5 linked regions of the Sus scrofa genome follow. The protein of the gene in region 2 purifies or fractionates together with the protein of the main gene of each other region. This does not show direct contact. Links are inferred from orthologs where the notes say so. Each region holds a gene or a part of one and is shown on either strand. Other genes may lie near its edges.

The links.
Region 1: the proteins of GSK3B (region 2) and GSKIP purify together in Homo sapiens (affinity purification with mass spectrometry; 10 studies listed by BioGRID and IntAct, with this or other methods). This does not show direct contact. The link is inferred for Sus scrofa from reciprocal best matches to the Homo sapiens genes GSK3B and GSKIP.
Region 3: the proteins of GSK3B (region 2) and AXIN2 purify together in Homo sapiens (affinity purification with mass spectrometry; 9 studies listed by BioGRID and IntAct, with this or other methods). This does not show direct contact. The link is inferred for Sus scrofa from reciprocal best matches to the Homo sapiens genes GSK3B and AXIN2.
Region 4: the proteins of GSK3B (region 2) and EPB41L3 purify together in Homo sapiens (affinity purification with mass spectrometry; 4 studies listed by BioGRID and IntAct, with this or other methods). This does not show direct contact. The link is inferred for Sus scrofa from reciprocal best matches to the Homo sapiens genes GSK3B and EPB41L3.
Region 5: the proteins of GSK3B (region 2) and PRUNE1 purify together in Homo sapiens (affinity purification with mass spectrometry; 5 studies listed by BioGRID and IntAct, with this or other methods). This does not show direct contact. The link is inferred for Sus scrofa from reciprocal best matches to the Homo sapiens genes GSK3B and PRUNE1.

The regions. Positions count from the first base shown.
Region 1 is NC_010449.5:117,585,422-117,589,555, reverse strand, and holds the start of GSKIP (GSK3-beta interaction protein), read right to left. Parts: upstream 2,815-4,134; 5' UTR 2,732-2,814; intron 1-2,731. Other genes in the region: ATG2B (autophagy-related protein 2 homolog B), read left to right, coding at 3,382-3,543. UniProt on the Homo sapiens protein: A-kinase anchoring protein for GSK3B and PKA that regulates or facilitates their kinase activity towards their targets.
Region 2 is NC_010455.5:140,134,712-140,138,914, reverse strand, and holds the start of GSK3B (glycogen synthase kinase-3 beta), read right to left. Parts: upstream 2,807-4,203; 5' UTR 1,714-2,806; coding exon 1,626-1,713; intron 1-1,625. UniProt on the Homo sapiens protein: Constitutively active protein kinase that acts as a negative regulator in the hormonal control of glucose homeostasis, Wnt signaling and regulation of transcription factors and microtubules, by phosphorylating and inactivating glycogen synthase (GYS1 or GYS2), EIF2B, CTNNB1/beta-catenin, APC, AXIN1, DPYSL2/CRMP2, JUN, NFATC1/NFATC, MAPT/TAU and MACF1.
Region 3 is NC_010454.4:12,312,200-12,315,713, reverse strand, and holds part of AXIN2 (axin-2), read left to right. Parts: intron 1-2,892; coding exon 2,893-3,019; 3' UTR 3,020-3,514. UniProt on the Homo sapiens protein: Inhibitor of the Wnt signaling pathway. Down-regulates beta-catenin. Probably facilitate the phosphorylation of beta-catenin and APC by GSK3B.
Region 4 is NC_010448.4:101,665,216-101,668,729, reverse strand, and holds part of EPB41L3 (band 4.1-like protein 3), read right to left. Parts: intron 3,363-3,514; coding exon 3,240-3,362; intron 2,671-3,239; coding exon 2,284-2,670; intron 1,483-2,283; coding exon 1,351-1,482; intron 861-1,350; coding exon 762-860; intron 327-761; coding exon 246-326; intron 1-245. UniProt on the Homo sapiens protein: Tumor suppressor that inhibits cell proliferation and promotes apoptosis. Modulates the activity of protein arginine N-methyltransferases, including PRMT3 and PRMT5.
Region 5 is NC_010446.5:98,196,776-98,199,933, forward strand, and holds part of PRUNE1 (protein prune homolog), read right to left. Parts: intron 3,112-3,158; coding exon 2,953-3,111; intron 1-2,952. UniProt on the Homo sapiens protein: Phosphodiesterase (PDE) that has higher activity toward cAMP than cGMP, as substrate. Plays a role in cell proliferation, migration and differentiation, and acts as a negative regulator of NME1. Plays a role in the regulation of neurogenesis.

The sequences.
Region 1 (4,134 bases), on a different chromosome or scaffold from region 2:
AATTCATGAAACTATTAACTAGTTATCAAGATATTGATCACTAATTTCTTTACTCTCTACTTCTTAATTTAGTAGATTTTGTTTTGTTTCATCACCAATTTATAGCATCAAAGAGCTAGCAAAAGACTGTATATTTGTTCTTGAGGACAAGAATGGGTTTAGAAAGACAGTCTTATATACAGGGTGACAAAAGAACAGAGCCCAGAATGATTTCAAGAGTAGTATACAGATGTCAAATTTTCATTTTGGAAGAAAGTTTAATTTGTCAGTTGCTATTGCAACAGTCAGCCGAGGGCTAGAATGCAATTATCTTGCTCATGATTACAGTTGACCCTTGAGCAACACAGGCTTGAACTCTGCAGGTCCACTTACATGCAGATTTTTTTCAACAGCACCTATTACAGAACTACACTGTCCGTGCTGACTGAATCAGCGGATGTGCAACTGTGTATATGGAGGACTGACCATAAGTTATATGCAGATTTTCAAGTTTGGGAGGGTTTGCGTCCCTTATCACAGCGTTGTTCAAGGGTCAACTGTACTTTTATTTGTATCATACCTCACAGTCTGGAGAAATGCTCTCAACATGAGTAAGGGGCCATATGGTGTGGTGCTTAAAGGGTTTTGTGTGTTTTTTGGTCCTTTTGCCTTTTCTAGGGCTGCTCCCACGGCATATGGAGGTTCCCAGGCTGGGGTTCTAATCAGAGCTGTAGCCGCCGGCCTACACCACAGCCACAGCAATGGGGGATCTGAGCGGCATCTGCGACCTACACCACAGCTCACAGCAACGCTGGATCCTTAACCCACTGAGCAAGGTCAGGGATCGAACCCGCAACCTCATGGTTCCTAGTCAGATTCGTTAACCACTGCGCCACGACAGGAACTCAAGTCTTTTCTCAACACAGCAGTTAGCATGATCTGTAAAAACTTCATCAGATTATGTCACTCAGTTCCTCAAACCCATGTAATTCACCAAGTGAAAAGTCAAAGTCTCTATAATGGCCTATAAGGCCTTACATGACACACCCCCACTTCCATCCCACTCCTGCCAATTCCCCCAGCTCTGCTCCTCTTTCCTGACATTCCTTGAACTCACTAAGCATGCTCTTACCACAGGGCCTTGCACTCTGCTGTTCCCCATGCCTGGAAAACTCTTACATGTATTCACATGCCTTGCTCCCCAGCTACCTCTAAGTCTCTGCTAAAATATCACCTTCTCAACCGAGGGAGGACTTCCCTAACCCCTATGAAAAGCTGACAAATCTCTCCCCTTTCCACTCTCTTTACATTGCTTTATTTTTTTTCTACAGCACTTATCACATGGCTTATGATATATTTGATTTTAGTCTGTGTGCCCATAAAACGTAAGCACTCCCTGAGGGCAAGGACTTGATCTGTTCACTGCAGCATCTCCAGCACCTAGAACAATCCCTGGCACATAGCAGGCAACCAATAAACACTTACTGAATAAAGGAATGGGCTTTTCACTATAGAACATAAGATCCCTGAATTTCTCTTCACCTTTTTCACATCACCAATGGTACAGATTTTCATGTAATGGATCCTTAACAAACATTTTTAAATGAATGAAGAGCAAGGAAACCGAAGGTACTGAGAATGCTTGGGCCAAGTCTACAAAGAATGAGAGGTACCAAAATTCGCAGCACTTGTATGACCCTGGAAAGCACAGTGGTTCTAAAATGAAAAGGTGGTTGAAGGAAGGGGATCCAGAGCTTTTTCCATCTGCCAACGTTTCTGGGCTGTGTTAATACTTCTAAGACGTTTGTTATCAACATACAAACGAAATCTCCTTAAACCAGTTGTCCTAATTGACTATTCTTCATTACACGGTATGCATCTGGACTCGTTTACATTCGTTCTCTAGTTAACCGGTTTAGGATTCCTAATAATCTTTGGAGGTAAGATATTACTAACATGCCTACAGTCGACAAAGACTCAGAGAGGGTAGTGGCCAGTTGAAGGTGTCTCGGCTAATAAGTGCCAGGAGCTGGAGTCTAACCCAGGGCACCTGGCTTCCGGGTTATGGAACACCGGCACTCAGGCCTTCTCGGGGTTGACCAAGTGCAAAGCCGGCTCCGCCTCTGCAGGAGTTGCCTCGTAAAAGGCAGAAATCCGACTGCGCAGATTCCCAGAACAGCACAGGTACCTTGCCCAGGTTTCCCCGGGGTCGGAAGGCTTTGGCATCGATCACAGAAAGCAGTTCTGCCCACCAATGCCTCGAAGACTCGAAGTTTCCCGTCGCTGGCGCAGCACACCCAGGATGGATAAAGCGCTTTGGAAACTGCAAAGCCGCTAGCTAGAGAGCAGCGAAAATGAAGCTTTGGAAAACAGTATCTAAATGAGGCGGGCGACGAATAACTTACCGACAATGGGCACCGGTCAATACTGGGGGTAGGGGAATGTTAGGGAGTGTGTGTGTGTGTGTGTGTGTGTGTGTGTGTGTGTGTGTGGAGGGGGTGAGCCAGACGGGCTGCAGCCCTTCAGGTGGAGCTCGCGGCGTCCCGAGCGCCCGTTTCGGGGTCCTGGTCTAAGGTGACAGGGACGGCCGAGGCTGGAGCCGCTCCCAGACCCCTCTTTGCACGGGGGCCTCTTCCGCCCTAGCCCCTCACGGCCCAACCCGCTGCGCCGCGTCCCGCTCAGAAAGCCCTGGGTCCGCCCCCGAACCCCCCTCGGCCTCCCGCCGCCCATCGCCAGCCCCGCGGCTGCTCACCTGTGCTCGCCCCGCGCCTTCCTCTTCTTCCCTCCGGAGGCTTCGGGAACCGACCTGCGGCGCCGCCCCCTCGCTCCCCACTCTCGCCCCGCCCCCTCGGAGCCGGAACTGCTCCCTTCCGGTCTCCTTTCCCCGCCTCTTTCGGACCCCCCCCCCCAGTGTGGCGTCACTTCCGTCTGCGCCCGGCCCAGGACTGGGAATCCAAGTCTCGCGAACGCGCCAGGGGCGTCCCGCAGCCGGGAGCGCGCCCCGCGGATGACAACAAATTCGTCGCGCGGCAGCGGTGGAGGAGTCCGTCTCAGCCCCGGTCGCAGGCGGTGCTGCCGCCTCGTGCGGTGTCTTGCACCCTCTTTCTGTGCCGACCAGGAACCCCTTGGAAGCCCCCAGGCTTGGGGCCGCTGGGACTCCGCACCTTGCCCGCGCCAGGCCTAGCGCGAGCGGCGCGGCGCTGGTGATGGGGTCGCCCTGAGGGACGCCCAGCGCTGAGCGGGCATGGAGGGCCCTCCCCGGGCCTAGGCCCCGCTGCAGCCTGGGCACACTGGCCGGGATCTGAGGCGCCGTCACCGCCGCCGCCGCCGCCTGGAGCGGGAGCCTGGCCCCGAGGCCGGAGCCGCCTGCAGCCCCCGTCAGCCCATCTGCCAGCCCTCATCATGCCTTGGCCGTTTTCAGAGTCCATCAAGAAGAGAGCCTGTAGGTACCTCCTGCAGAGGTACCTGGGCCACTTTCTGCAGGAGAAACTGAGCCTGGAGCAGCTCAGCTTGGACCTGTACCAGGGCACCGGGTCCCTCGCCCAGGTCCCCTTGGACAAATGGGTAAGAGCTGCCGGCGGCCAGCCTGGCGGAACTCACTCTACTCTTAAGGGCGCTTTGACCTAGTGTCATCCAGGATTGGTGACGTTCAGTCCCTCCCTGGGAATTGTTTGGCTCTAAGTGGGGCAGGACCCCAGAGAAATGTGTTCAAATGTTGTTTAATCTGTTTCTAGCAAGTTTGCGCTCCCAAATCACGTGCTCCAGAAACTTAACAGAGGTGATGGAGTCTACACTGTGGGAATCAGTGGTGTCTGGTTTTTTTTTTTGGTGGAGGGGAGGGCCGGGGGAGGTCTGCGGAAGGTGACCAGTGCTTCCCATGGGGATAGGAAGGGTTGCGGGGTGCTGTGCAAACAAACTCTGTTTCGTGGGCTGGGACTGCAGAAAGATTAAGGATGAGGAGGATCTTTGGGGATGTCAGCATGCCTAAATATTTCTTTATTTAGGGTTGATTCCTTGCACACTGCGGCCCCCCGGGCAGCGTTTGCGATGTGGAGGAAAGTTAGGTGAAGCCCTCCTCTGCCGGTTGCCTGCTTTTGCTTGATGATACGTTTATAAGGCCAGTCGGTGAATAGTTGCGTGGCTTTAATAGTGCTG
Region 2 (4,203 bases):
ACATACTAACACTCCAGTACCACAATAGGCTCTTAAGTAGCTATTAAAAGATTTGCTTCATCATAGCTGAAAACTACCCCAGAATTTTAAAATATTCCTCTCAAATGACCCCATGAAGTGCTTAGAAAGCTTGACCATTCCCTGAAAGATGCATCATCAGCTTCCCTCTTCACATACCCTGCATTCTCAACTAGCTAGTCACCAAAAAAAAATTTAACTCTCAAAAAAAAAAAAAAAAAAAAATCTACCATTCAGCTATTACCTTGGACTACACTGTCTTAGGCAAGCTCCAAAGGCCAACATGAATCAAATCCTGGGTTCAATTAAGAGTGATTATATTATGCTGTTTAAGGATATAATCAATTTCACATAACAGCATATACTTTAAAAAAAAAAATCTCAGTTCAATTCTCTCCTTCTTCTAGGCAACCAAATAGTTTTTCGTTGTCCTCATCATGCCCCTTTCTTGAGAAATAAGGAAACAGAATAGATATTTTTGTCAAATTCTGAAAGTACGTTTAAATAAACTCTTTAAATTCCACATAAACAGAGATACACAGGAACATCTGACACTTAGTGTACCACTCAACTAGACTTTTCTGCACAAATCTAGCAAGAGGGTCCAGTCTAGTAATAACCCTGAACAGAGCCCAAATTATACCCTATTATATCCAGGACCACAGCATTCTGCAAAACCTATGATGAAAAGGTCTAAATCCATATTCCTCTAACTGGATAGTCTTACCTAAAGAAAACCAATGCAAGAGTATTTTAAACAGTCTTAAGAAGGGACCCCTGAACTTTACATCATTTAGCATGTATGGAATGCAATGGCATCCCCAAAACTGATATATGGAGGGTCAGTGACAGTTAACATTCAACTCAGTATCTGACAACATGACAATACAAATCTCGATCAAAACCAGGACCTACTTCCAAGTTACCTTTTGATTAAATATTAACTCTATAGTGGTAGACTTAAAACAATGCATGTTGAGATACTACTGCTACTGAGTATCAACCTCACGGGTCCCTTCTAAGAGGAGGAATCAATGCTTGCCTGGAAATGTGAAAGTGGTCACTGAGCAAGTTCATCTCTGGATTAAGAACAAATGCGTTGTACAGTCACAAAGGCAAGAAAGAACTGTTAAGAGACTGTGACATTTAGCTCCTCTATTAAGTGTACAAAACTATGATAACCCCTGAGATCTGAGCTAACTATCCCTTGTTCCTAAAGACACACTGCAAAAGCACATAATGGTTTATGAATCTTGTCCTTCGCTTTATTCATGAGAATGAGCCAAGTAAACACTTCCATCACTATTTTAAGATGGAAATAAGTCAACCGCTTGATAAAGCTGGCAAGAAAACTATAAGAAATATTTCAAGTCAAATCATCCAAATAAAAATCATATTCCCTCTATTCAAGGTTAATGAGACCGGGGGAGGGAGTATGGGAGGAGAAAAGAGGGAGCTGCCTCATCCTTGACAGAAGACAGGTTTCTGCCCTTTTCCATTATCTCTGATTGTTATATCAGACATCATATTTTAAGATCCTGGTATTTCAAAGTCTCTTATTTAAAGGGTGAGGTGGAGAAAGAGTGTAAAATAAAATCAATACTCACTGCTAACTTTCATGCTGCCAAAAGCTGAAGGCTGCTGCACTGGCTTGCAGCTCTCCGCAAAGGAGGTGGTTCTGGGCCGCCCTGACATGATCACTGTCTTCCCGAATCACCTTCTTTTCCTTCCTTCCTCCTCTTCTTCCTTTTGTTTTATGTTGGGGTGTTAGGTTAATGATAAACGCAGCATTAAGTTCTCCCACAGGAAAAAAAAAAAGACTTCGTCCTCTTGGCTCTTCACTCCTTTTGTATAGCGACAAAAAAATGCGAGCGATGTATTTCTCCTTGAAGACAGATCAGTACGGATATTTAACATATAGATGATCTGGGACTGGGGAAAAAAAAAATACAATTCTCTCCCCTCCCTTTCCTTGGAGGGTAGAAATGGGTGGGAGGTCCTAAAAAATATGTATCACGTGAAACGGGGGCAAATACTTGATTGAAAATAAGTACTTTGAATATTATATTTTCCTCAGGGATTTTTTTTCCGAGTCAATGAAGAAGGGAAGCGGCGGAAGGATCACGAGTCTCACGCTTGAAAAGAAGGGGGGATGGGAAGGAGGGAGGGAGCGGGAGGGGGTGGCTCGGAGATGCGACGGGAAACGCTGCGGCTCCGGCAGCGGCGGGATCCGGCGGGCTGACGGCTGGGGCCCGGCGAACTGGAAGGCGGCGGAGTCGCGAGTCAGTCAGAGGCGGGCGGTGGCGGCGGCTCCTCTCCTCATTGCGCCAGGAGCAGCTGCAGGCGGCGGCTGGATCCAGCGGCCATGGCGGCGGCGGTGGCGGAGGCAGCTCCCTTCAGACCCCAGGCAGCGGCTCCTCGACTGCTCCCCATACGCCGGGGACATGGGAACCCGGCAACCGCTTCCGTCCCTCGGGGCCCCCTCCCCCGTCCACGGCACCGGCGCGACCGCCCTCCCTCCCGCCCCTCGCCTCTGCTCGGTCTCGCTCAGGAAGTGTCCGCGCTTTGCCCCCAGCCCGAAGCCCTGTCAGTGGCTGCGGGGCCGGCTCCTCCTCGCTTCCTTCCTTCCTTTGTCACTCGGGCCCGGGCGGCGGCGGCGGCGGCGGCGGCGGCGGCGGCAGCGGCGGCGGCAGCAGCAGCGAAAGCCCGCATTCGCCCGGGTCGGGGGCTGTTCTGTGTGAGGAGTGCCGTCTGCGCAGCCGCCTAGCTCTTCCCCAACCCCTCCCCCCTCCTACTCGTCCTCCGCCTCCTTCCTCCCCCACCCAGCCTTACACCGCCCAGCGCCCCTCCGCCCGCGTAACAGGCGTCTGAGAATTGCCGGCCGAGCCCGGCGCCCGCCCCCTTCGGCAGGGGAGCCGAAGCCCGAGCGGAGCCAATCACGGACGTCGTTTGTTTGCGGCTCCTCCCGGAAAAAGCCGATCGGCCAGAGGAGCCAATTAGAAAGTACCACTGGAAATCACGCCCAAGGGCGGAAAGTGCCGAAGATAGCCGACCGAGAAGAAGATGGGTTGGAGTGATACTGTGGCTGGCTGGAGGAGAAATTCGACAATGGCAGCAGCGGCCAATCAGAGTCGCCGGCTCTCACGAAAAAGCTTGAAGAGTTAAGAACTGTGAAGCCGGGAGTTGCTGGTGAAACCGCAAGGCTGGGAGCTGCAACCGCTTTGTAATTGGCCAAAACTCCGCTGGGAGTGTACCTCCCTTGGTGATTGGTGAAGAGAATGGGGCTTCCGAGGACAGTCTGACCAGTCAGGACGTCTCCTCCCTGGCCAAGGTGGGGAGAAGTAGAAAGCGAAGGGAGGGCTCTATAAAGCGCCTTCTCATTGGTCTCAAGCTTTGGAGCTGGAGTGGGGGCAAAAGGGAAAAGGAGGGAGACCGAAAGCGGTAGCAGTAGCCAATCGGCACTCACTGCCCTCCAATCGCGAGACCTAGCTGCAGTGTGATTGGCCTTCGGCCTCGGCGGCGGTCCCGGCAGCCGGGAGAAGCGCGTCTGGGGTTGTGGTGGATGGTCAGACAGGCTTGCCTGTGGCTACTCGCAGCCTGTGTGAAAACCGCAGATAGCGCGAGCCCTTCGCCCGCCAGTGGGAAACTGCTGCAGTCAGCCGGTCGGGGCTCGGAGCGCTCAAGCGAACTGAGGGTTTAAGGGCTCTCTCCCCCTCCCGACTACAGGCTCCCGGCGGGGCGGGGCTCATGTGCGCACAAGGTTTCCCTCCGCTGGGGAGAGCGCGTCTCCAGTGCCAGCTACTTCCCCGAAAGGCCCGGACGGATTCAGTGTGCTTCCAGGCAGGGGTGCGAGTTCTCAAACGCTAAATTGAGAACAAAGCTTCCACCTCTGCGCGGCCGCGCCCCGCCCAAACGCGAAGGCCAGTGATAGGAGTGAGGCCGACAGCCCCGCGCGCGGGCGCGCCCAGGCCCGACCTTCCAGAAACGCCCCTGAGAAATGAGCTCATGGTGGCTGCGCGCGCTCCTCGGGCGCGACTGCCCTCAGCGAAATGGGCCCGAGAGCAGGTGAGGGGAAGTGCAGTCAGGCCGGATATCCTGAAGTCCCTGAGGAAACGGGGAGTCAGAATAGCCCTCCACAGTTTGGGTTCTTTGGAAGTAGGGTGATCTATAAACTAAGCGGTCTTC
Region 3 (3,514 bases), on a different chromosome or scaffold from region 2:
GGATTGTTCTTTGTCCAGAACAGAGAAAAGGCAGGACCTGTGGGCAGGCATCACTCTTCCTGCTGGGCCTCCGTGCCTCTGCTCCCTGCCGGGGTCTTGAGGAGGGAGCCCCCCTTTCCCCATCTATGCGGTACATGTGCCCACCCTGGCCTTCCAGGGCCCTGCAGGGGGTTAAAGAGCCCAGTGAGGGCCAGGGGCATTTCTTGGTCACTTTGCCCTCAATGCGGGACAGGTGACACCTGCACCTTAGCGCATCCCGAGTCCTGCTTGCCCCTTCTTGGTGGGCTTTATCCCAGGGGAACACATGGATTTGGCTCCAGCTACATCTGCACTGAGCAGGGCCGGGACTAGGAGGGTAAGGGGGACACCTGGGCACACAGGTAAAAGAGGAGCCCAGGAGGTGCCATTCTGCTGCCATCTCAAGCCAGGGAGGAGAGTGGAGAACTGTCACAGCACTTAGCCACCTGCCAGGTGAGCAGGGCTCTGGAGTCCACCTCCAGGGCCCTGAGACCCCGACCCTTCTGGAGCAGGCCCTGCCCAACTTCGCCAGCCACCTCCACCTGGGCGCTGATTTGGGACCCCGAGTGCCACCCTTTGTAGGGGAAGGGATGGGGCTCAGGGCTGGGACCCTGCTGGTGACTGACAGCTGACAGCAGGGTATGGAGCTGGGCTTAGATCTCTGCCTTTTACACATGGGTGAGAGAGTTCTGGAAATGAACCAGGGGGATTGGGGAACGGGCCTGGCTGCTGTTAAGTTTTTTTGTATCTTGCACAGACACAAGGTGAAACTAATTACACAAGCGTGCCCCTCCAGGGGTTCATTTTGATCTGAGCTTTGACTCGGCTGGACTTTGAGTGGAACTGCAGGTGACCTTCAGGGGAGAAGGGCCGGGGAGTGCTGAGCAGAGAGGCTGCTGGGGAGGCGCTCAGTCACTCCGGCCACATCTGGCTCTGATTTTTTTTTTTTTTTTTTTTGCTAAGGCACACTTAATAAGCCTGGCTTTGAAGCCCCGGCCTCCCCTTTAATGCACAAAGACTTGCACAAATGGTTGACTCGCAAATTCTTTACTGATTGGATCAGGCTGTGGCGAGGTCCTTCCCAGCTGCCTTATCTGTCTACACTTGCTCTCTGGGCCGGAGCTGCCCTCCTGGGTCGAGGGGGCGCTGGGTGCGCTGCTGCGTCCCCCCAGCAGGGGTGGTGCTTCAGCACGCCCTTTGCACCCCCTTACTCCCCCATCCGAAGCCCGGTGAGGATGGGTCTGGGGAGTGGGGGACCTGGGCTGTGTCGAGGAGTCGCAGCATGGCAGAGGTTCAAAAGGAGAACAGTCCCTCCCGACGTGCCAGACGCTCTTGGTGCCAGATGTCGGAAGAAAGCAAAGTTCGCCACAGAAAGCCTGTTGCAGTGGGAGAGCCCACTGCTTGGAGAGGACGAGGGCAGCGCAGTGCCTTTGAAGGCTCGGGGGGCCGCCCAGGGCAACGTGGCCTCTCCCCTCTCTGGAAGAGGCTGCCGTTATGTAAAAGCATCCGAGCATCGCGTGTCTGCTCGGAAAGCCCGGGAGAGCCCGACGCCCTGAACCTGACTGATGGCTGGGCCAGGCCGGGCCGGGAGGGCGTCGGGATTGGGAAGGTGACGTTCCCTGCCTGCAGCCCGCGGTCTGCCCAGCCCCATCGCCGCCCCATTTGCTCGCCATCTCCTGAACCCCCCCAGAGAGTCTGAGCTCCTGGCTCTGAAGCGGCTTCACCACTGACCCACCAGAGCCGGGCTGCCCACCGCGATGCGCTGGCTCAGCTGGGAATGCCAGGAACCAAGACCCTTGACTCCATCCAGCTGTTTCACTTTATTTAGCCTTATCGCCTATGAAAGTATTTGGCTCGCCTTCATTAAAGAGGAAAGAAATTGAGCTCTAACCAAGGGGAATTTGAAAGAAAAAAATATTTTTCAGGACAGAAACCAAAAAACAACCATAACCCTGAGACACCGTCTCTTTTTCTGTGTTTTTTTTTTTTTGGAGGAGCTGTTCCCCCCCCACAGGGGAGGAGCTGTGACCCGCCCTCCATGAGTGGCCTTTCTTCACGGAAGGTGTCAGCTGGCAGGGCCGACACCTGAAGAAGGGTCTCCCTGGCTGGGGATGGCGAAGGAAGAGGCTTGGGTGGGCCTGGGCCTGCAGGATGGCACTTGTTGTCGAATGTGACGCTGGTCATTTACGTCCGTGCAGTTAAACAGGCTGGGGTGGGACGAAAGGAACCTTTTATCAACAGGCAGGAGGGCCTTTGGTGTGTCACCCTGGAGGAGGGGCGGAAACAGGGAGAAGAGGGGACAGTGGTGTGGGGACGAGGCTGTCGGCCGCCCTGGGAAGCAGCACTGGCCTGGCCTGCCTCCCGCAGCGGCCACAGAGGAAGCAGCCCGTCCCGCCTGTCCCCTGGCCATGCCCGTCTCCGAGACCGGCCGGAAGGGATTCCCTCCCCAGACTTCTGTAGGATCAGAGTGGCTGACTCCGGGGGTGGCTTGGCGGGGTCGCCCCCCCCGGGGGGGGGGGCGCTGCTGCAGGTGACCTCGAGGCATGCCCCTGCCTCCATCCCCCACAAAGGGGGAGAAGGAAGGAAACTCTGCTCCACAAAGTGTACTTTTCACCAAGTGTGTGGGGGCGGGGGGACAGCAGCCGTTCTGGGCTGGAGGTCCTGGGTTCTCAGGTGGCGGGGGGGCACCCAGCCCACCACCTCCAGGGTGCCTTCCCTTGCACCAGCCCGCTGGCTATCTCAAAGCAGATGTGGGCAGAGGTTTCCCTGCCACCTGTTGTACCAGCCCTCTTCAGATACCTTAGTCCTCCGGGGTTGACAGACTCAGTAGAAAATGCAGCTTAACCAAGACGTGTGTTGGGTCTTCCTTTGAAGGTATTACTTCAAAACAGCGAGCGACGAGTTCGCCTGTGGAGCGGTTTTCGAGGAGATCTGGGACGATGAGATGGTGCTGCCTATGTATGAAGGCAGGATTCTGGGCAAGGTGGAGAGAATCGATTGAGCCTCGGGCGGCCCGCGGGGCCCAAGCCCTCACGACCGGCCTTGGACGTGAGCGCCCGCAACCCAGCCCTTTGAAGGAAGACTCAACCAGTGAAGACGTCGAAGTCTGGGGGAAGACTCTTGGCCACGGGGCCTTCGGGAGGGTGGGGGGAGGTTGGCTTTCATTATTCCCCAGCTGGGTACGGAGATAAGAAAAGCCTGAACTATTTATTAAAAACATGACCACTCGTGGCTGTTGAAGATGCTGACTGTATTTGAGAGACTGCCATACATAATATATGACTTCCTAGGGATCTGAAATCCATAAACTAAGAGAAACTGTGTATAGCTTCCCTGAACAGGAATCCTTACTGATATTTATTGAATAACTGAGTCTCCCCCCACCCCAATCCCCAGTTTATGGATATGCTGCTTTAAACACGGAAGGGGGGAGACAGGATGTTTGTAATTGTTCTAAGCTTTGGAGTTGAGCTAGGAGTGCATTAATGATTTCTTC
Region 4 (3,514 bases), on a different chromosome or scaffold from region 2:
AGAGACAAAAAGGAGGTGGAACATGCATGATCAGAGCAAGGCAGAGACTTAGGCGCTAGATCTATAAACACAGTCTACAAATGGGGCACAATGATTGCAAAAGGAATTACACGTTGCGTATCAGAAACTTAACTCAGAAAACTGTTGAGGCTACAGGCTGGACTAGAGGGACCGCTCGGGGAAAAGCAGGACCCACCAATGTTTCTGTCTCTCTGCCGGGGCATCTACCGTCTTTAACACACTACCTGGTCGTGGTCAATGTCTGCATCTCCTGTGATAACGATTCGCTTCTCGATTCTCGTCTCTGAAATGCCTCCTTTCACAGTCTGAAAGGAATAATCAAGCGTTATGACATTACCCTCACTGTTGACTGGGGGGAAATGGCAGAAAACGCTAGCACAGCTTCAAGTAACCTCACTCCTTCTTTCGGAATCCAAACGGAACCCTACAGCAGTTAGTCACAATTGCTAATTTCAGAAGGAAGGACAGAATAGGGTCCTCTGGGTTTGGCTGGCCAGGGCCTCTGGAACAGCCGCCCTATGTCCTATGTAAGCCCTGGAGTACGTATAAAGCAGAGGGTTATCTGGATGCACAGTCCTCACCAGCACGGTAACGGGAGCACAAATGCCCCACAAAGATAGCAGCCGTGAAAGCTCCAGGGCAGCTGCCCGGCATCCCAGAGTCACATGAGGATCTGCTTGTGCAGCCCAACCCGGAAGTTCTGAATGGCTACCGGCCTTTATAGGTTCCCACTCACTTACTCTGGTGATGTGGGTGGTGGTGGTGGTGCTGGTGGTTTCAGATGTGATCGTCTGGGCACTCATTAGCACCCCCGGCTCCAAATCAGCGCCAAGATCAACCTAAGCGGGAGGGAGGAGATGCCACACTTGAATGTTTATGTTACCTCTTCGGACATCCGATGCACGGGGTTCAGGGCATGAGAATGGTGATTTAATCATCTGCCCTCTCTGTGTGGCTCCACCAGCCTGGGAGCTGCCCCTCTGAGTGGGAACGAACCAAAGACGGCCACTGTTAACCATCATTAAAAAATTGGGGCTTCAGAAATGTGCGCAGAGGCCGCCTGAGCTAGTGTTTTGCCTTATCTACAGCTCAGGTAATAGGTTTCTGAGCTTCTTGCTCCATTTTGAGATACAAGATGACCTGCCTAAGTCACCTGCTCTTCCTGGATTGGTAAAAGAATTACAATTATGGCCTTGCTCTTGAGAGAGACAGTCTGGTTGCTGAGTCCTCTGAGGCTCACAAATTCAATGTCATACAGTTACACTGAAGTGCATTCAAGCGGGGAAACAAGGGCCAGGGCCCTGGCCTTCGTAGATTTCACAGTCTTACCTGTGATGATTCATATGTTATGGTTTTTGTTTCTGTGTGAACTACAGGCACCTCCTTGGTAGAAATTTCTAGCTTTATTCCTCCTGGTGAAACACTGCCAAAGCTGATGGTTTCTGTCTTCACAGTTGATGACTATACCAACGGGAAGCAGGCAGAGTGGCTGTTACAGTTTGCACCAACACATGCTTTTTGTTTTGTTTCTTCTCTCCCCTCTTGGTGGATATTATGTCAGCACAGGTTAGTATGAAATAAATGTTCACACATAACATGGGGGGGTAAGTTGGGGAATGAAGCACACGACAGATACGTGTCAGTCTCCACAACATTCTTCACGTGGAAGGTTCCAGGTAAAGGAAATGGTTTTGAAGGAAACTGACCAAAACCCACATTTTCACCTTCCCTCTCCTCTAGCTCATGAACTAATTTTAATGGATGGAAAGTCCTAAATGAGGCTTTTATTTCATAACTTCTTAGAGAGAAGGAACAAGTAATATGACACTGAACCACTGCCCCACTCAGAGACTTCAGGAATCTCAATAACAGAGACCAAAGATAAATCCTAGCATTTGGTGCTGGGGCAAGCCAGGTGTTGGTCCTTCTGGATAAGTAAACTGATCAGAAATAAATTTATTAAATTTCCTAATGTCTTGGCCGAGCATACATTTCCCAGATTTACTGCCAATGACTAATTACAATGAGAGTAGAGACCATTTCCTGGAACTACAGGTTATTAAGAATCATCATTCTATGTGTTTGCAAGGGGCCCCAGCGATGGAAACCAGCACAGATGCCCATAACTGCCATGCAAGAAGCCAAGACGAGGCCCATGCTGCTCTTGGAAAAGGTGGAAAATTAAACTGAGCCCCACCTTCGTCCTTAACTACCCTCCAGGGACTTCCTTCCACATGAAAAGTAACATTAACTGCTAGTTACCTCAAAATGAGGTTTTTGTTCCAGAGTTTCAGACACGTGGATGGCAGCACTCAGCCGCTCCTCCTCTGGCTCCTGGGAAGCAGTGGCCATCACTTCCTGCTCCAGGACAGCTCTGTCGGCCACCTCCCCCTTGTCCTCTTTCGCCCCCTCGGTCAGAGCAGAGCCTTCCTTCCCTTTCACGCCAGAAGCTTCGGCAGAGGCAGCCTGTGCTGCAGCATCCACACCATCTCCCGCAGTGGAAGAAGCATCTCCACTTGCATGCACGCTCATCACATGTCTTTCCTCCACCAACACCGTTTCCTGCACCACCGTCTCAGTGCTGAGTGGCTGGGGGCGCTGGGTCGTTTCTGTCTCTGTTTCACTGGACTCCGTCTTGGTTTCTGTTTTCTGTATAGTAAAAAAGGGTGGTATCAACGTGATTGTCCACAAAGCAAAGCCCAAAGATAAAACAAAACACCCACAAAAGAAGTCACTCACCAAATTGCCTCAAGCTTATAACCAGCAACACTTATAGAAAACAGAAATTAGCTTTCACTCCCCGCACCATAATCTTTGGTGCCTGCCCGCTGCCCCCCCTTCACCGCTTGAACCCGAGCTGCTTCTTTGGGATGTCGCCAAAGAAACAGAATGTGGTATAAGATGCAATTAAAAACCAAAACAAAGTGAAAGCATTGTAGCACATGCACATTGGTTTGGGCTGCTTCCTTAGACCTAATAGGTAACACAAAATGCTTTAAAACATTGAAAGCTATTGAAATTTCTCACTATTTCTTACAAGAGAACTAAAGACATAATGGATCTGTGGGCCAGCACAAAGCCGGGTAAGTGAAGACCCTTGGGTGTTTAAGGCAAAGCCACTTGGATACAAAACACACACACAAACACACCAAAAAGGCATTTAAAAAAAAGGCAGAGAGGCAGAGGCAGAGACACCAAGGATGGAAAGGAATGGCCACCTGCACCCAGCTTTGAGAAGTGGAAGTAACCCCTCCTATGAATTCTGTCGGTTTCCTCGCAGACTCTAATAAACTGAAGATTTCAGAGCCATCCATGAGCTTTTCACCAGAAGACTGTTTAGTCTGAGTGAACAAAGAAATGGAGAGTCAAGCACAGACATGGGGACACAAGAGGTACATAAACATTCACAGCTGGTTAGACATAACGGGGGCGCATGACCCAGGGTGAGGGAAGGCAGAATCCACGTAAGACTCGGAAACGGAAAAGAACGGAA
Region 5 (3,158 bases), on a different chromosome or scaffold from region 2:
AGATCTTGCATTGCTGTGGCTATGGTGTAGGTCAGCGGCTTCAGCTCCAATTTGACTCCTATCCTGGGAACTTCCACATGCCACAGGTATGGTGGTAAAAAAACAAACAAACAAAAAACCCCCCCAAATCTTGAACTCTATCCTTAGCTGAGCTGGGACAAGCATCTATATACTGAGGTCAGGGGAAGGAGAGAAGCCGAAAGAATGAGCAGATCAAAGTGGGAATGGGAAGTTGCTAGGCATTGTCTGGCCATTTTCAAATATTATCTGGTTTGGGGAGTTCCCTGGTGGCCTAACAGTTAAGGATTCAGCATTGCCACTGCTATGACTCAGGTCCGAATTCTGGCCCAGGAACTTCCACATGCCATGGGGGAAGCAAGAAAAAAAAATTATCTTCTGTAACCCTCAAAACTACCTTACAGGTGGAGTTCCCTGGTGGCTGAGTGGGTTAAGGACCTTGTTGTCACTGCTGTGACTCTGGTTACAGACATGATATGGGTTTGATGCCTGGCCTGGGAACCTCTGCATGCTGTGAATGTGGCCAAAAAAATAAGTAAAATAAAAACTGGAGTTCTCTCTCTTTTTTGGCTTTTTTTTTTTTTTTAAGGGCTGCTTATGCGGCATACAGAAGTTCCCAGGCTAGGGGCCAAATCAGAGCTGCAACTGCTGGCCTATGCCACAGCCACAGCAATGCAGGATCCAAGCTGTGTCTGAGACCTACACCACAGCTCATGGCAATGCTGGATTCTTAACTCAGTAATCGAGGCCAGGATTGAACCTACATCCTCATGGATACTAGCCAGGTTCGTTACCACTGAGCCACAATGGGAACTCCAAAACTGGAGTTCTCTTGTGGTGCAGTGGGTTAAGGATCTGGCATTGTCACTACAGCACGTGGTTCACTGCTGTGGTGTGGGGTGGATCACTAGCCAGGGAATTTCCCAGGTTGAGGCAAAAAAAAAACACACCCAAAAAAACAAACCCAACAAACAAACAAAAAACCACGACCTTACAGGTTGATATTACTATTATCCTCATTTACAGGTAGGGAAACTGAGGCTTAGACAGATTAGTAACTTGCTAACGGTCAAGTTTGTATACATAAATTTTTTCGTCTTTTAAGGGCTGTACCCACGGCATATGGAGGCTCCCAGGATAGGGGTTGAATCTGAGCGATAGCTGCTGGCTTACGCCACAGCTCACGGCAACTCCAGATCCTTAACCCAATGTGCAAGGCCAGGGATCAAACATGCGTCGTCACGGATGCCAGTCAGATTTGTTTCTGCTGAGCCACGACGGGAACTCCAGAAGGTCAAGTTTGAATGAAGCAAGGCTAATACTTGAACTCAGGTCTGCTACTAAACCTGGTGTTCCAAATTATACTATTCCTGACAAAAGAGTAAGAGAGGAAATGGCAGGCAGACTGTGAAAAGAGGACTTCTATTTCCCAGCACAGTGGCAGCCTGGGCAATGGTAGAGTCATCAGATACCTGCAGGCTTTCAGAGGGACTGTGGTGGGGAGATTTGGGAAGGCAGGGAGAAGTACTTCTTACAGCCAAAGCAACCTTTCCTTCATGACACGATGAGTAAGAGTACACTGTGCTCAGTACTACACTTTACATGTGACATTATGTTTGATGATCACATCAGACTAATTAGGAGGTGGTAACATGCCACCTACAGACTCAGAAGTCAACTGACTTGCCTTCGGTCAAAGAGCAGGTAAGTGGCAAATCTGGCACAGAAAAGCATATCTATATACCTTTAAAAACTGTAGTTTTGGAATTCCGTGGTGGCTCAGTGGGTTAAGGATCCAGCATTGTCACTGCTGTGGCTCAGGTTCCATCTCTGGCTCAAGAACTTCCACATACCACCAGTGTGGCCAAAAAAATCAACCCCCGCCCCCCCAAAAATTCTGTGGTTCTTTCTACAATGTCAACCTACCTTCCACTGAATGAAATAACATTTTGCTTCCTGGAGGAGAAGAGAAAGGCAAAGAGAGGTGGGAAAGGGTGGACATACCTTTTATGAACAAAAAAGATTATCTGGCTATAGTCAGACCAGTCTTTAGCAGTCCTCACTGCTAAGAAACCCAAAGAATCCCTGGACTGCCTTAAGTCCACTCATTTTTTATTTTACTTTTTTTAGGGCCGAACTGACAGCATATGGAGGTTCCTAGGCTAGGAGTCAAATTAGAGCTGTAGCTGCCGGCCTACACCACAGCCACAGCAATGAGGGATCCAAGCAGCACGTGCGACCTATACCACAGCTCAGGGAAACAATGGATCCTTAACCCACTAAGTGGGGCCAGGGATCAAACCTGCATTGTCATAGATACTATTCAGGTTTGTTACTGCTGAGCGACAGTGGGAATTCCAAGAATCAAGTTTTTTAACTCCAGATTTACAAAATGACCTTTTAACCCAATTTCAATTCCTTCTAAGTAGGGATTATGTCTCTAACTCTCTTTGGAAATTTTTTTTTTTTTTTTTTTTTTGCTTTTTAGGGCCACACCTGCAACATATGGAAGTTCCCAGGCTAGAGGTGGTATCAGAACTACAGCTGCTGGCCTACGCCACAGCCACAGCAATGCCAGATCCGAGCCACATCCGTTTCCACGACAGCTCACGGCAATACCGGATCCTTAACTCACTGAGTGAGGCCAGGGACTGAACCCCCATCATCATGGATACTATTCAGGTTCATAATCTGCTGAGCCACAATGGGAACTTCCCTCTAATTCTCTTTGGAATCTCCCTTTCTCAACAACAGTATAATTAAAAAATATTCACATATATAGAGAATGGAAAAAAGTGGGGAGAGGAGGTTCTGGAAATGGAGTAAGAGACCTCTATAAATATAAGAACCAAGGAGACGCCTTTATAGCACGGGGCAGTGCATACAGGCAAAGCTTTATAGGGCCCTCCGGCTGCAGAACGGAGAGAGACTCACCATCACTCGGAGTGCTGTGTGGGGACAGAAGACAGCCAACTGTCGCACTGGCTCATTGTGAGTGTTGAAAAAGATAGTCATGGCGACCAGGGCATCATAGCTGTGAGCCTGGCAGAAGGCATGGAGATCTGCAATGAGGCCAGACCTCTGCAGAAAGGCCTAAAAGAGAAGAAATGGACAGGGATGAGGGCTGCAGCTGGACCTTC